Linked DNA regions of Mus musculus. The protein of the gene in region 1 interacts with the protein of each later gene in a biochemical or structural test. Links are inferred from orthologs where the notes say so. Each region holds a gene or a part of one and is shown on either strand. Other genes may lie near its edges.

Region 1 (7,659 bases):
GGCCAGGCTTGGAAGCTGACCACATGTCATGCTGCCCCTAGGGCCCAACTGTGAGATCAACCTGGATGACTGCGCCAGCAACCCCTGTGACTCTGGCACCTGTCTGGACAAGATTGATGGCTACGAATGTGCCTGTGAACCAGGCTACACAGGTGAGTGGCTGAAGGCAGAGGTCAGGGTCATCCCTAGAGTCTGGGAGGGACTGTGGGGCTAGCCAGGGTCCAAGGGCTGGATGTCACAAGCTGGGTGTCAACTACCCAGATCTTGATCTGCCAACCAGTAGAGGTATCTATCATAAAGACTGGGTGGCCTCCATATGCCTCCTTTCCCCTGTCAGTGTCAGCCCTGGCCATGCCAGACTTAAAGCCCCAGTAGCCTGAAGTGGGGTGGCCAGAGCTCCGAGGCCAGGCTTTTGGATATGTGTTTAGATCTGATAAAATCCTTAGTTTCTCTGAGCACCGAGGACATTGTCCACCAGAGGATAGAAGAGGATGGGTGGTCTCAGGCTGAGGTAAAGCTGGGCTGCAGAGTGACTCAGTTGGTAAGGTGTTGACCTAGCATGTGTAAACCCTGGGTTCAGTCCTCCTGCCATGTTAACCAGATGCAGTGGCATGCATACGTTGTAACCCTAGCACTCTGACATTGGAAGCGAGAGGATCAGAAGTTTAGGTCATTCTCAGCTACATGTGAGTTTGTGGCCAGACTGGATCACATGAGGCTCAGAAGCTACTGGCACTACGGTCATGTAACTCATCGCTACATAAGGCACTTTACTATCGCTCAAAGTTTCATAGATTAGCACAAGGGGAAACTTAGACCCAGCTAGGTCTAGCTCTAGGAGGGGTAGGCTCTGGGTGGCAGGCTTGGAATCTGAGCCCCTTCCCACCCACAGGAAGCATGTGTAACGTCAACATTGACGAATGTGCGGGCAGCCCCTGCCACAACGGGGGCACTTGTGAGGATGGCATCGCGGGCTTCACTTGCCGCTGCCCCGAGGGCTACCATGACCCCACGTGCCTGTCCGAGGTCAACGAGTGCAACAGTAACCCCTGCATCCACGGAGCTTGCCGGGATGGCCTCAATGGGTATGGCAGACTGACCTGGGAGGGACTAGCTGTAGCCTTGGGCAGACACAGGCTGGGTGAATGGGTGCTCCTGTGAGACCAGTGATCTGAGGTCAGCCCCTAGTGTCTTCCCAGCATCCCTGGGCTGTATCCTCATTGGCTAGCATCAGCTCAGGATATAGACTCTAAGCACACTGTGGCTGCTGAAACAGTTGTCTGATACTGTGGTGACAGCAGCCCTTTGTCAGTGTGTGGGGGACGAGGAGATTACTAAGGTCTCCGTTAAAACTATTAAAGTTTTATACAGAGGGTCAGCATTGTCAAGGTGGCATTGTTCCAGTCTGGAACCCTTGCACGGTCTTGGGCCAGGTGGGTACCTCCAGCCCAGTGGATGATGTGGCCTTGTCCTCAGACTGGAACTGTAGTTTAGCAGGAGAGCTCTGAGCCCAGGCTACAGCTCAGGCCTCTCCGTAGGTACAAGTGTGACTGTGCCCCTGGGTGGAGTGGAACAAACTGTGACATCAACAACAACGAGTGTGAGTCCAACCCTTGTGTCAACGGTGGCACCTGCAAGGACATGACCAGTGGCTACGTATGCACCTGCCGAGAAGGCTTCAGTGGTAAGTGTGGCGGGTGACACAGCAGAATGGGTCCTCCCTTTGGTCTCTTTCTCGGTCCACCTGATGAGCTAGCATTTCTCAGGCAGAGATCCTAGTTCTCTTGAGGAAAGGCATAGGGCAGAGGCTCTGGCCCACCTCCTCTTGCTCAACTTCCTTACAGGCCCTAATTGCCAGACCAACATCAACGAATGTGCCTCCAACCCCTGCCTGAACCAGGGGACCTGCATTGATGATGTCGCTGGATACAAGTGCAACTGTCCTCTGCCATATACAGGTACGAACAGCCAGGGACTGGAATTGGCTCTGGTGGTAGCTAGTGGAGCTAAGAGTATATGGGCTTACCAGGCACTGAAGAAGGTTCTGTTCCTCGCTGAGGGTCTTAGGTCCTCAGACTGGAACTGTAGTTAAGCAGGAAGGCTCTGAGCCCAGGCTACAGCCCAGGCCTCCTGGGCCTGGGGATAGTCACCAGATGGGCAAACACAGAGGATGCCTAGGAGGAAGCTCCAGGCCGTGTGTCCGGGTGTTTATCTGGTATGTCTGGAGTGAGGTGAGCACTGGACTCCTCCAGAGAAAGTCTGGGAGGCTGACTGGTAGGTACTGCATGGATCAGGGTCCACTTTGCCTGTGCCTCTGGGGGCCCTGGCTGCCCTCCTCTGCTGGCTGGGCCTGGGATTCCTTTGATGGCAGCTTCTTTGTGTGAGGAGACAAGGAGCCCTCTGTTAGATGAACAGAGGCAGCTCCTGCCATGGGCACTGCCTGAGGAATGGCGAGAAATAGACCCCCTGCAGGAGAGATGTGCATTGAACATGAAAGCCGTGACCACATGGCCCCCAACCCTGCAGCTCCAAATACTGCCACAGAGTACTGGTGGCTTCATGCTGCTGCTGCTAGGTTCTGGACATAGCAAGTGGGTCTGTGAAGGTGGAGGCCCTTCCAGTGTTCCTATGATGCCTGGCAGGATGCTGTTTTCTTTGACAAAGTTAAAGGGCCTGGATTTTGTCTCCTGTGTTGGTCAGTGAGGAAACTGTCAGCAGCCAGGCACACCCCATGTTCCTTTTGGTCTTGCTGCTATCGGGGCTAGCGGGAGGAGTCAAGCCGCGCTGACCAGCTTCCTGCTTCCCTTTGCACAATTGTCGGAAACTCTGTCAAAGTTCCTGTCTGCCCAGGTCACCGTGGAAACCGATAGAGAGAGAGGCCCTGGAGAGTCTCACCAGTGGGCTGGGGACATGGTGGGAGACAAGGAAGATAAGGTTTCCTTGCTTAGCTCCTGGAGCCAACCATGGCCATAAACAGGAAAGCTAACTGGGATTGCAAGGAGAGTCACCTGGGTTACTCGTGGCTCCCCCAAGCGGTTATCAGATTTCACTGCCCTAGTGTGAGGCTGCACCCCATGTTCCCCAAGTAGGATATGCTTGGGGTAGCCACAGTAGCTCTGTCTCAGGAGTGAGCCTGCTGTGACCTAAAGCTTCAGAATCAGCTCAAGGATTTTCCTGGAATGGGGAGCAGGCCAGGTTCCTCCAGGCTCAACCACCTGTTATAGTAGGGTCTTGTTTTGAGGTTTTCTGGTTGGGCAAGGCCCAGGCTTCATCGTGGAGCATTTGGGAGATGAGAGATGGCTTCCGGGACTACATAGATGGCTCATGGAGAAAGAGTGCTTGTGGAAACATGAAGCCTGTTTCATGAAAACAGGGTACCTCTAAATGCCCATAACCCCAACATTTGGGAGCAGAGACATCTTGAGAGCTCTCTGGCTGGCCAGCCTAGCTAAGATGGCAAAGCGTCTGATTCAGTGAGACTCTGTCTCAAAGGAATAAGATGCGGGGTTGGTAGAGGACACCTGATATCCGTCTCTCCTTCTGCATACACTCTTACACACCTGCATGCAATATACTATGCTCGTTAAAAAAAAAAAAAAAAAGTGACTTAAGAGAGAAACTTGATTCTGCTTTATCTCTAACCTCCTGTCAGTAATCGTCATTCCTCCCGGGATCAGAGTCTGGCTGGCCAATCATACAGCATCTCCTATACCTACCCCCCGCCCCCCTTTATGGAAGACCCTATGGGCCAGGCTCACTGGGTTCTATCTTCTACAAATCTTTCTTTCTAGGAGCCACGTGTGAGGTGGTGTTGGCCCCATGTGCTACCAGCCCCTGCAAAAACAGCGGGGTATGCAAGGAGTCTGAAGACTATGAGAGTTTTTCCTGTGTCTGTCCCACAGGCTGGCAAGGTGAGGCTTGCCTGGTCCCACCAGGCTGGGACAAGGATGGTGGATGGGAAGTCAGGGGCCCTGGCCAGCCTGTGGGGCAGTCTCGAGAAAGGAGCCCATCAATGCTGAGCTACCTGCTCTGGGAAGCTCTGGGAAGCTCTGGGAGCAGGAGATGGTCCTTCCCATTCCAACTCCATATCCTTCTGTTGCCCAGAGGTCAGGGGAGAAGCACTGGAGATAAACAGACCAGCTAGGACAGAGGCTCAGAGGGTGGGGGCAGGTAACCAAATGAGTTTTTGTCTTCACAGGTCAAACCTGCGAGGTTGACATCAATGAGTGTGTGAAAAGCCCATGTCGCCATGGGGCCTCCTGCCAGAACACCAATGGCAGCTACCGCTGCCTCTGCCAGGCCGGCTATACAGGTCGCAACTGTGAGAGTGACATCGATGACTGCCGCCCCAGTAAGTGGTACCCAGCTCTGTCCATCCTATGTTTCGGTGCCTCTGTTCCTAAGCACACATGACAGGGAGCTGCTGAGAGTCTGAGGTGGAAAATAGCCCTGGTGCCCGGCAGTCATGAAGGACTGTGGATAGCTGTGCCCTCAGCTTAGTCCACTTGCCTGTGCCTTAAAAAGAGACAGGCCAGAGGCTAGACAGGCCAGGAGGAGGCTGTTGAGCATCAGTGTGTGCTTCTCACGGGCTTTGCTGCTAGATTTCCCAGCCCAATTGAGTGATATGGAGCAGAGGCACCAGGCACTTCAAAATGATGGCATGGGGCCTAGTTGTATTCAACCTTGACACTCGGCCCTTGTCAGGACCCATTGAGTTGTGTAGGGCTTTAGAGATGCCCTGCATCCTGAGTCAAAGCTAAAGGCAGAGAGAGATTGAGGGAGGTTCTGCCTGGCACCATCAGTGTGTGTGTAGGGGAATGGGCTTCCCTATGACTGCCTTGGGCCTGAGGGAAAAAGTGTATGCGGAGCAGATTCCAGGCTCAGTGCTGGGATGGGCCCCTGTTGACTACTGTCATCAAGGCTTGCTGTGAGCACTTGCCACCCCATACCACCTTCTCAGCATCAGGTCCCCGAAGCATGGCCAGTGGCCACCTAAGGCTCATCTTTCTGTCCCTCCAGACCCGTGTCACAATGGGGGTTCCTGCACCGATGGCATCAACACAGCCTTCTGCGACTGCCTGCCCGGCTTCCAGGGTGCCTTCTGTGAGGAGGACATCAATGAATGTGCCAGCAATCCCTGCCAAAATGGTGCCAATTGCACTGACTGTGTGGACAGCTACACATGTACCTGCCCCGTGGGCTTCAATGGCATCCACTGCGAGAACAACACACCTGACTGTACTGAGAGGTGGGTCCCAGCCTCAGCTGAGACAGGGAAAGAAATGGACTGTGGAAGACACAAAGTCTTGACAGCATGGCATCTCAAGCTGGTGTCTTGCCCAGACCCAGTGGGCATACAGCACTAATTGAACTGAATCCAGCGTTGTTCATTATGTTGCAGTATCCCTCCTAAAGGGGCCTTTGTGACCTCCAGTGACTTAGAACAAGGAAGTTTGTGCAGAGGAATTGGGGAACTAGCCTCCTATCAAACAAGAGCTTTGTAATCTGTCTTAGTTCCCCTTTTGCCCTGGTTGCCAGGAAGCTTAGAGTTAAATCAATCTCAAGCCTGGTTTGTGATGCGCTTCCTATAGTGTTCCTATTTTGCCCTTGATTTTGTTTTTCTCAACCACCACGTGTCTATATGCTATAAAATCTCTGCTCGTGATTTGGGTATTGTGGCCAGGTAGGCATGGAGTTGTCTCTCCTGGCAAGGACCTTAGGGAACTCCTCACTCTTCCCTGCTTCTCATCTGCCTCTAGCTCCTGCTTCAATGGTGGTACCTGTGTGGATGGTATCAACTCCTTCACCTGTCTGTGTCCACCTGGCTTCACGGGCAGCTACTGTCAGTATGATGTCAATGAGTGTGATTCACGGCCCTGTCTGCACGGTGGTACCTGCCAAGACAGCTATGGTACTTATAAGTGTACCTGCCCACAGGGCTACACTGGTCTCAACTGCCAGGTGAGCTGAGGTTACAGGGTATGACCCAGAAGGCCTAGGGCTCTCCAGTGCCCATTGCCCAGCCCTGGGCCACACTACCTTCAGAGGGCCAGGGACACAGAAGCAGAGAGGCTCCCTGGTGTCATCATTGGTTGATGAGCCAGAATGAACCCACATCCTCTGGGAAAATGCCAAGTTGGGTGCTTCTGAGGGAGACAGGTGGGCATGGGTGCCAGCCAGGCTCTTCTGTGGAGTGCATTATGTGGCCATCTGTCTGAAGCAGCCTGGGGCAGTGCTCACTTCTGGTGGAGGATGTCCAAGGGGAGGTAGCCAGTGGGTTGTGGAGAGCCTTGAAAGAGAGCAAGGAAGACGTGGAGCCCAGGCCTATGTTGTTCGGAGGGCGGGCAGTGTTTGTGAGTCCTGTGCCTGGGATTTCTTAGGTGATATTCTTTCTGAGATGGTGGGGGTGGGGGTGGGGAAGTCAGAGCATAAAATGCCTTATTCCAGTGGCGCTCAGCCTGTGGGTCATGACCCCAATAGGGGTCATATATCAGATATCCTGCATATTTTTGCTACATGACAGTAGCAAAATTACAGTTATGAAGAAGCAATGAAATAATTTTATGGTTGGAGGTCACCACAACACGAGGAACTATATTAAAAGACTGCAGCATTAGGAAGGCTGAGAACTGCTGTGCTTCTCAGAGCCAGCCAGGACCAGGGCAGGAGGGTGCCCTAGCAGTCAGAGTTGGTCAGGGAGAAGCTAACCAGCGCCTGTCTCCTCAGAACCTTGTGCGCTGGTGCGACTCGGCTCCCTGCAAGAATGGTGGCAGGTGCTGGCAGACCAACACGCAGTACCACTGTGAGTGCCGCAGCGGCTGGACTGGCGTCAACTGCGACGTGCTCAGTGTGTCCTGTGAGGTGGCTGCACAGAAGCGAGGTAACCAACCGGCCGGGCCCACCTGTCCTTGCTCAGGCTCAGCTTAGGCCAGGAGTGCCCCGGTGCCTGCCAGGTCAGGTGACAATGGGCAGTAGTCCCGAGAGCTCAGCCCAGGCCTCAGCTCCTTCCCGTCTTGTCCCCACAGGCATTGACGTCACTCTCCTGTGCCAGCATGGAGGGCTCTGTGTGGATGAGGGAGATAAACATTACTGCCACTGCCAGGCAGGCTACACGGGCAGCTACTGTGAGGACGAGGTGGACGAGTGCTCACCTAACCCCTGCCAGAATGGAGCTACCTGCACTGACTATCTCGGCGGCTTTTCCTGCAAGGTGTGGGCCGTCATGGGGTGGCGGGGAGGGTATCAGCGTGAGTGTTGCTGCAGGGGAGGGCTTTTGACTGGGAGCTAGTGCATCATGGCAGACTGAGCACATACCTGTGCAGGATCCGGTCACATTACAGATGTGCTGAAGGAGGAGAACTATGCCAAGCAGTGGCTTAGGGCACCCCTTTCCTATATGGTTTCATGGTACCTAATACCTGCTCCAAGACCTCATCCCTGGGGGACCAGGTGTTGCCCCACACACACACACCTTGGACACTTATTTTAACTTACTGGGGTCTACTGGGTGGAGCCCTCGCTGCAGGGTGGGACAGTGTAGTCTAACTGGGTATATGGCCTGCATGGCAAGTGGAGGACATGATACCACAACCCCAGCTAAGCTGTGACCTGTGCCATTTCTACAGTGTGTGGCTGGCTACCATGGGTCTAACTGCTCCG
Region 2 (7,659 bases), on another chromosome or scaffold:
GAGCCCTCACGAGTGTGGTATTACCTAGCCAGGGCCCAGGCGGGGCCTCGGAGCTGTCCTCTGCTCACCAGCTCCAGCAGATAGCTGCCAAGCAGAAGCGCGAGCAGATGTTGCAGAATCCCCAGCAAGCTGCCCCAGCACCCGGCCCAGGCCAGCTGGCCACGTGGCAGCAGGCAGGGCCCTCCCACAGTCCCTTAGATGTTCCTTATCCCATGGAGAAGCCTGCCAGCCCTTCTGGCTACAAGCAAGACTTTACCAACTCAAAACTGCTCATGATGCCCGGTGTGAACAAGAGTTCTCCTCGGCCAGGAGGCCCCTACCTCCAACCTAGCCACTCCAACCTGCTGAGTCACCAGTCACCAAGTAACTTGAATCAGAACCCCGTGAATAACCAAGGGTCTGTGCTAGACTATGGCAATACAAAGCCCCTTTCTCATTACAAAGCAGACTGTGGCCAAGGTGGTCCTGGGTCTGGCCAGAACAAACCAGCTTTGATGGCATATCTTCCCCAGCAGCTGCCCCATCTGAGTAACGAGCAGAACTCCTTGTTTCTGATGAAACCAAAGTCAGGAAACATGCCCTTCCGGTCATTGGTTCCACCTGGCCAGGTGAGTAGGCCCTTCACTTGCCATCACTCAGCTACGGGCACTAGTGAATGCACATACTGAACTAGAATCAGCATGCACGAGACAGTGGTAGCGGCTGCTGTCATCCTTTGAAGTGGAAAACGTAAAAAACAGGGCAAGGCTGGTGTTCGTGTTTTGAGGCACGGTTCATTTATCCTTGGCTGGCTGTGGAGCCACGCTGCTCTTGAGCCTGATTCCCCGCGCCTCTGCCTCCCAAGAGTTGAGATTACAGATGACTGGAATTGATCCTTAATAAAAATAGAGTAAAATTCCTTAATGTAGCAAGGCAGTGGTGGTGAGACCTTTAATCCCAGCACTTGGGAGGCAGAAGTAGAGGATCTTTTGCAATTTGTGACCAGCCTGGTCTACAAAGCAAGTTCCAGGACAGCCAGGGCTACATGGAGAAACCTTGTCTAGAAAGAAAAAAATTCCTTAGTATAAATTAGTCTTTAACTACATAAACATTTGAGAAATCACCTAATTTAGTTTAGTCGTCTCTTGCATGCCAAACAACTACATAAGTCCTTGCCAAAAAATAAATAAAATAAGGGGCTGGAGAGGTGGCTCAGCCATTAAGACTGGCTGTTTTAGAAGTCCTGAGTTCAGTTCCCAGCAACCATATGGTAGCTCACAACCATCTGTAATGGAACCTGATTCTCTCTTCTGGTGTGTATGAAGACAGAGCACTCATATAATTAAATAAATAAATCCTTCTCGTGTGTGTATGTGTGTGTGTGTGTGTTTTAGATAGTCAAATAGCCTGGCATGGCAGCACATACCTTAAATCCTGCATTCTCTGAGGAGGCAGAGGCAGGGGGAATCTCTGAGTTCAAGACCAGCCTTGTCTATATAATGAGACCCTGTTACAAAACAACAAACCAGTTGTGGTTCACAGTAATCCCAGCACAGGGAAGTTGAGGCAAGATTGCCACAAGTTTGAGGCCAGCCTGGGCTACAGTGTGAGGCCTTGCTTGTTTTGTTTTGGAGAAAAGAAACGAGGGGGAGGGGATGAATGTATTAAGTTCCATGGCTTTAAGCATGAACTCAAGAAAGGCAGGGTACAGAGCTGGTGGGCCATGTGCTCAGAACTTGCTCCTGAAACAGGAGCCCGGCAGCTCACTGGCCAGCCTGTCTAACTACACTGAGCAGCTCTAGACTCACGAGATCCTCTCACAAAATGAGGTGAAACAATGAAGAAAGTCACTTGATGCTGACCACTGGTGCACAAAGAAACACCAAATAAAATTTGAAATCTAAACACTATAAAGTATCTGTGTCTTCCCAGAAAAATACGCATAGACTAGTGAACATAAAAACGATTTCATGCTCTCTGGGCCAGCCATAAGGCAAGTCTGCATTCTTAACAACATAGCATTATTTTGCTTTTGTTTTGTTTGGTTGGAGGCTAGGATATTTGTAGGGTATTAGTGGTTTTTTGGCTTTTTTTTTTTTTTTTTTTTTTCTTCGAGATAGGGTTTCTCTGTGTAGCCCTGGCTGTCCTGGAACTCACTTTGTAGACCAGGTGGCCTCGAACTCAGAAATCTGCCTGCCTCTGCCTCCCAAGTGCTGGGATCAAAGGCGTGTGCCACCACTGCCTGGCTTGTTTTTTGGCTTTTAAAAAATAATTTATTTTTATGTACATTGGTGTTTTGCCTACATAAGGGTGTCAAAGGTTGGCGTTACAGACAGTTGTGAGCTGCCATGTGGGTGCTGGGAATTGAACCTGGCTCCTCTGGAAGAGCAGTCAGTCTCTTAACCACTGAGCCATTTCTCCAGCCCTATTGTTTGTCTTTAATGAGGCTTTTTATAGGTTGGTTGGTTTGGAGTGTTGTTTGCTATTTTAAGTTAGGGTCTCATGTATCCCTGACTGATCTGGAACGCACAGAGTTCCACTTGCCTCTGCCTCCCAAGTGCTAAAACTTAAAGATGCCTCCACACACATGAGGGACATTTCATGTCCAAACTATAAAATCAGGGAAGCAGAGGCTTGGAGTTACAAAAGAGAACAAGACTATCACTGGGTGCCGCTTATCTGGCCTGATCAGGGTTGGATCCATACTATCTGACTTGTATCCCTTCATCTTTGTTGACAGGAGCAGAACCCTTCCAGTGTCCCTGTAGCTGCCCCAGCTGCCAGTGTGGGAACCCAGCCTACTGTGTCTGTGGCCAGCACTCACAACAGCTCGCCATACCTCAGCAGCCAGCAGCAGGCAGCTGTGATGAAGCAGCACCAGCTGCTCCTGGACCAGCAGAAGCAGAGGGAGCAGCAGCAGCAGCAGCTGCAGCAGCAGCAGTTCCTGCAGAGGCAGCACCTCCTGGCTGAGCAGGTAACAGGCACCATTTCAGCTTGTTTGCACTCAATGTCAGTGTCGTGTCCTTTAAAACAATAAAAACAGGTGAAGTGCTAAAGTGCTGGTCAGCCTATGGCCTGCATGCAATCCCTGAATCTCACATACACGTGAAGAGTGAGAGTCTACAGCACACCGTGGCACACACATCTCAAGAGCAAGCATTCACGCACACATTCACGCGTGATGATAGGTTGTTTGCTTGTTTGTTTGTTTAAGAAGTTAGGACCAGTAGGCTAGAGGTCTGTTCCCAGCACCCCCACATCAGGTGGTTCACAACTGCCTATAACTCCAGTTCCAGGAATTCAACCACCATATCTCACCTCTGTGGACACGTCTGTACATGTGGTACACATAAACCCACACAAACAAATATGTTTTTAAGAATATGCCAGCCATGGTGGTGCACACCTTTAATCCCAGCACTTGAAGGTTAGAGGCAGGTCAATCTCTGAGTTTGAGGCCAGCCTGAGCTACATGGTGAGACACTATATCAAACAACAACAACAAAACCTTTAATATTCAATCTTAAAGAAGGGGCTGGAGAGATGGCTCAGTGGTTAAGAGCACTGACTGCTCTTCCAGAGGTCCTGAATTCTATTCCAAGCAACCACATGGTGGCTCACAACCATCTGTAATGGGATCAGATGCCCTCTTCTGGTGTGTCTGAAGAGAGCTTATATACATAAAATAAATAATTCTTTATAAATAAATCTTTTAAAAAAACATTTATTTTTATATGTAAGTACACTGTAGCTATCTTCAGACACACCAGAAGAAGGTGTCAGATCTCATTACAGATGGTTGTGAGCCGCCATGTGGGTGCTGGGATTTGAACTCAGGACCTCTGGAAGAGCAGTCAGCACTCTTAACCGCTGAGCCATCTCTCCAGGCCCTATAAATAAATCTTAAAGAAAAAAAAAAGGCTAATGAAGTAGCTCAGTGGGTAGAAGTCCTTGTATGCAGTGTGATGACCTAAGTGTGACCCAGAGTCCCACAAGGTGGCAGGAGAGGGCTGACTCCAGCAAGCTGCTCTCTGAACTTCACACCATGGCACACATCCATACACACACAAATAAATAAAAATGGCATAAAGTAGAGCAGCCCTTGAAGTCCTGCGATCACGATGCACATTTTCCTACTGGGTTGCCAGGCATAGTGCAGACCCCAGGCAATCATGAGAGCCTTTGAGAGGTTGAACCATGTCTTCTAATTAAGACGGGAGCCAGCTGGGCATAGGAGCCCTCGCCTGTAATCCTAGCTGCCAGGAAGCTGATGCAGGAGAATCACCCTCATGTTTAGCTACACAGTGAGTTCGAGGCCAGTCTGGGCTACAGAGCGATGTGGTATCTCAAAGGGAGGGAAGAGGCCAGGGAGGGACTCAAAAGTCGGAGACCCTGAGTTCATAACTCTGGGACCCGTGTAAAGCAGGGTCCAAGTCTGTAACCCTAAGTGGAAATGGGAAGCGGGGACAGATGCCCTTGATGCAAGCCTGGCTTCAGTAATGAACAAAAGAAACCCCGTGACAGCACGAGGAAGAAAGCAGGACCCACACCAAAGCCCTCTGACACGCCATGGCGATGCTTACCCACGTAACAAACAGAGAATACTGTGGACCCGACTCTAGAGACCACACTTGCTGAGGTTGCTTACTACCTCAGGTCCTTATTATGTTTTGTTTTGTTTTTCTAGACAGGGTTTCTCTGTGTAGCCCTGGCTGTCCTGGAACTCACTCTGTAGACCAGGGTGGTTTCAAACATAGAGATATGCCTGCTTCTGCTTCCCGAGTGCTGGGATTAAAGGTGTGCAATACCACCACCACCACGCCCGCCATCTTTAAACTAGCTGCTTATTAGGATATATTCATTACCACATATGGTTTGCTTAGCCAATAGACTTCATTGATGTCCATTGTAACTGTTGTGCAGAGTTGTGCAGTTACCACCAGAGCCCATGCTTATCGCCCCAAACACTGCACCCGTGAGCAGTCCCTTGCCTTCCCTGCACTCACGGGCGCCTGTGAGCAAGTGACAGGCCTGCTGGTGCCCCTTGTGAGTGACACACTTGCTTGTACACCTTGCGTTTCTCCTCATTGGTTTTGACTTCAGACTTCCATTGAGTTTTCCTGTTTGTTTCTGTTCTTGGCACTTTGTAGGAGAAACAACAGTTTCAGCGTCATCTGACCCGCCCACCCCCCCAGTACCAAGACCCAACACAAAGCACCTTCCCACAACAGGTTGGACAGTTCACAGGTGAGGAGAGGTGGAGGAGGCTGGGGGAGGCAGGCTGGGGAGTGGAGCTCATGGTGTACGGTCCTGATGGAATTGACTTGCTCACAGAAGCTCTGCTTAGGAAGGGAGGGCTAGATTTTCAGTTTCTTTGTGGCACAAGAAGGTCTCCAGGGTTAACTATGAGGATACTCAGTTAAACATCCATCTGGAGCAGAATTATTACTGTTAGAGGCATCTTATGTGTAAGCCTTTGTTTTGTTTTGTTGCTAGACAGGATTTTTCTATGTAATAGCCTTGGCTGTCCTGAAACTCATCTGTAGACCAGGCTGGCCTCGAATTCTGCCTCTGCCTCCTGAGTGCTGGGATAAAAGGCGTGTGCCACCCCCACGACCTGGCTTATGTGTAAATCTTAATTAAAATAGTTCTTTGTATCCTTAGGTGAACCCCACAGCAAGCTGGGTTTGGTGGTGCTTGCCTGTAATCCTAGCACTTGGGAAGTGGAGGCTGGAAGGTCAAGTTCAATGTCACCTTCAGCTTCTTAGTGAATCAAAGACTCTTGTCTTTAAAAGAAAACCAACATTTCCAGATGGAAAGATGTATTCTAGTGCACTCTGGTGTCACAAAGAAGGGAGGCAACTGAGCCTCAACGTCACCTCTGAGCTATAGAGATTGCAAGTCACATGGCAGGTGTATGCTGGCCTTGCCTTCCTTAGTTAACGTTCACTGTGAAGTGTCATAGAAACTGACCACAGCCAGGAAAGAGTCTAGGTGCAGTCTGGTGTGCTGGCTAGGAATATGGAGTTGGAAGTCTATTGGAGCCACTGGAGCATGTGCCTGGCCTGGGTTCTCAACTCCTTCCATGCCACACTGATGTATATGGGCTGTTAGCACAGTGAAGTGGTCCTTTTCAGCTCTCCCCTTTTCGTCACAACTGTTATTTAAGTTATTTTTATTAAGTCTCCCTTTGATGGGTGTTATGCACATGAGATATAAGTGCCTATGGGGGCACATTTGTGTATGCCTCTGTGTGTATGTGTATTACATGTGTGTGTCTGCATGGGTGCACTCACATGTGCTTCTTCTGTGCTACTGGCGACTGGAGTCAAGGCCTTGTGCGTGCTAAGAAAGAGTTCTGCCTACTGAGCTTCTCCCTCAGCCCCACATTCAGTTCTCAACACTTCCCCAAATGGCAGGCACAATGCCTTCAGAGTCGTGCATTCCTATGACCTGCTGCTCAAGCTGTGACCTTGTCACACCATGTGATGGCGTTGGCTTCCACAGACAGATTCTGGGGTATTGGTCTTGAAATCCCTAGTCCCAGCTGAGAAAACTTTGTTGGCTACTTGATAAATAAATGAATGAGACAGCTGGCTTTCGCCTGTGGATCTCCCTCCATCTGTCTTTGAGTTCTGTCCTGTCCCTGTGCCCGTGACATGTGAGGGCTCTGACTTTCATGCCCATGACATGTGAGGGCTCTGACTTTGATGCCCGTGGAAGAGGAGCTCAGCTTGGGCCTCAGAGACAGTTGACCATGACAGTCAGGAATGCCAACATGGGCTGGCAAGATAGTTCAACAGGTCAAGTCTGATGTCCTGAATGTGATCCCTAAGTCCCACCTGGTGTGGAAGGGAGCTGTATGCCTAGTTTATGACATTTGGGAAGAGGGAGATGCTCAATTGAGAGTAGGCAAACCTGTGGGGCATTTCTTAACTAGAGATTAATGTGGGAGGGCCCAGCCCATGTGGGTGCTGCTACCCCTGGTCTGGTTGGTGGTCCTGGGAGTAAGAGCTGAGCAAGCCGTGGTAAACAGGCTAGTAGGCAGCATCCCCGTATGGCCTCTGCTTTAGTCCCTGCGTCTGGGTGTGGTGGTGTATACCTTTAATACTAGCACTTGGGAGGCAGAGGCAGGCGATTTCTGTGAGCTTGAAGCCACCCTGGTCTACACAGTGAGCTGCAGGACAGCTAGAGTTACATAGCGAGACCCCATCTCAGGTTTGGTCATGGTGTTTATCACAGCAGTAGAAACTCTTTTAACTAAGACAGGAACTAACCCCTGCCTGTTGTCCTCCTACTCCCTCACGCTTGTGGCACATATGCACCTGCACCAATATGCACACACAAACATAAAAATGAATGCTGATTTGACGGCTAGAACTTTCTTTCTTCTAGGACCTTCTGCTGCTGTGCCTGGGATGAACAACTTGGGTCCGTCCAACTCCAGCTGTCCTCGAGTGTTCCCTCAGCCTGGGACTCTGATGTCCATGGGCCCTGGACATGCCCCTGTCTCCTCTCTCCCCTCCAGCTCAGGCCAGCAGGACCGTGGAGTGGCCCAGTTTACTGGGTCCCAGAGTTTGCCTCAGAACAGCCTTTATGGCATGGCATCTGGCCTAGCCCAGATAGTTGCCCAGCCCCCACCACAGGCTACCAGCACACATGCCCACATTCCACGGCAGA

The links. The genes of interacting proteins can lie anywhere in the genome.
Region 2: the proteins of Notch1 (region 1) and Maml1 form a complex in vitro, tested with the Homo sapiens proteins (2 studies listed by BioGRID). The link is inferred for Mus musculus from reciprocal best matches to the Homo sapiens genes NOTCH1 and MAML1.

What each region holds. Positions count from the first base shown.
Region 1 is NC_000068.7:26,470,373-26,478,031, reverse strand, and holds part of Notch1 (neurogenic locus notch homolog protein 1 precursor), read left to right. Parts: intron 1-41; coding exon 42-152; intron 153-892; coding exon 893-1,085; intron 1,086-1,538; coding exon 1,539-1,684; intron 1,685-1,844; coding exon 1,845-1,958; intron 1,959-3,791; coding exon 3,792-3,911; intron 3,912-4,198; coding exon 4,199-4,351; intron 4,352-5,019; coding exon 5,020-5,248; intron 5,249-5,759; coding exon 5,760-5,961; intron 5,962-6,726; coding exon 6,727-6,880; intron 6,881-7,025; coding exon 7,026-7,210; intron 7,211-7,625; coding exon 7,626-7,659. UniProt on the Homo sapiens protein: Functions as a receptor for membrane-bound ligands Jagged-1 (JAG1), Jagged-2 (JAG2) and Delta-1 (DLL1) to regulate cell-fate determination.
Region 2 is NC_000077.6:50,258,544-50,266,202, reverse strand, and holds part of Maml1 (mastermind-like protein 1), read left to right. Parts: coding exon 1-608; intron 609-2,719; coding exon 2,720-2,953; intron 2,954-5,129; coding exon 5,130-5,226; intron 5,227-7,374; coding exon 7,375-7,659. UniProt on the Homo sapiens protein: Acts as a transcriptional coactivator for NOTCH proteins. Has been shown to amplify NOTCH-induced transcription of HES1. Enhances phosphorylation and proteolytic turnover of the NOTCH intracellular domain in the nucleus through interaction with CDK8.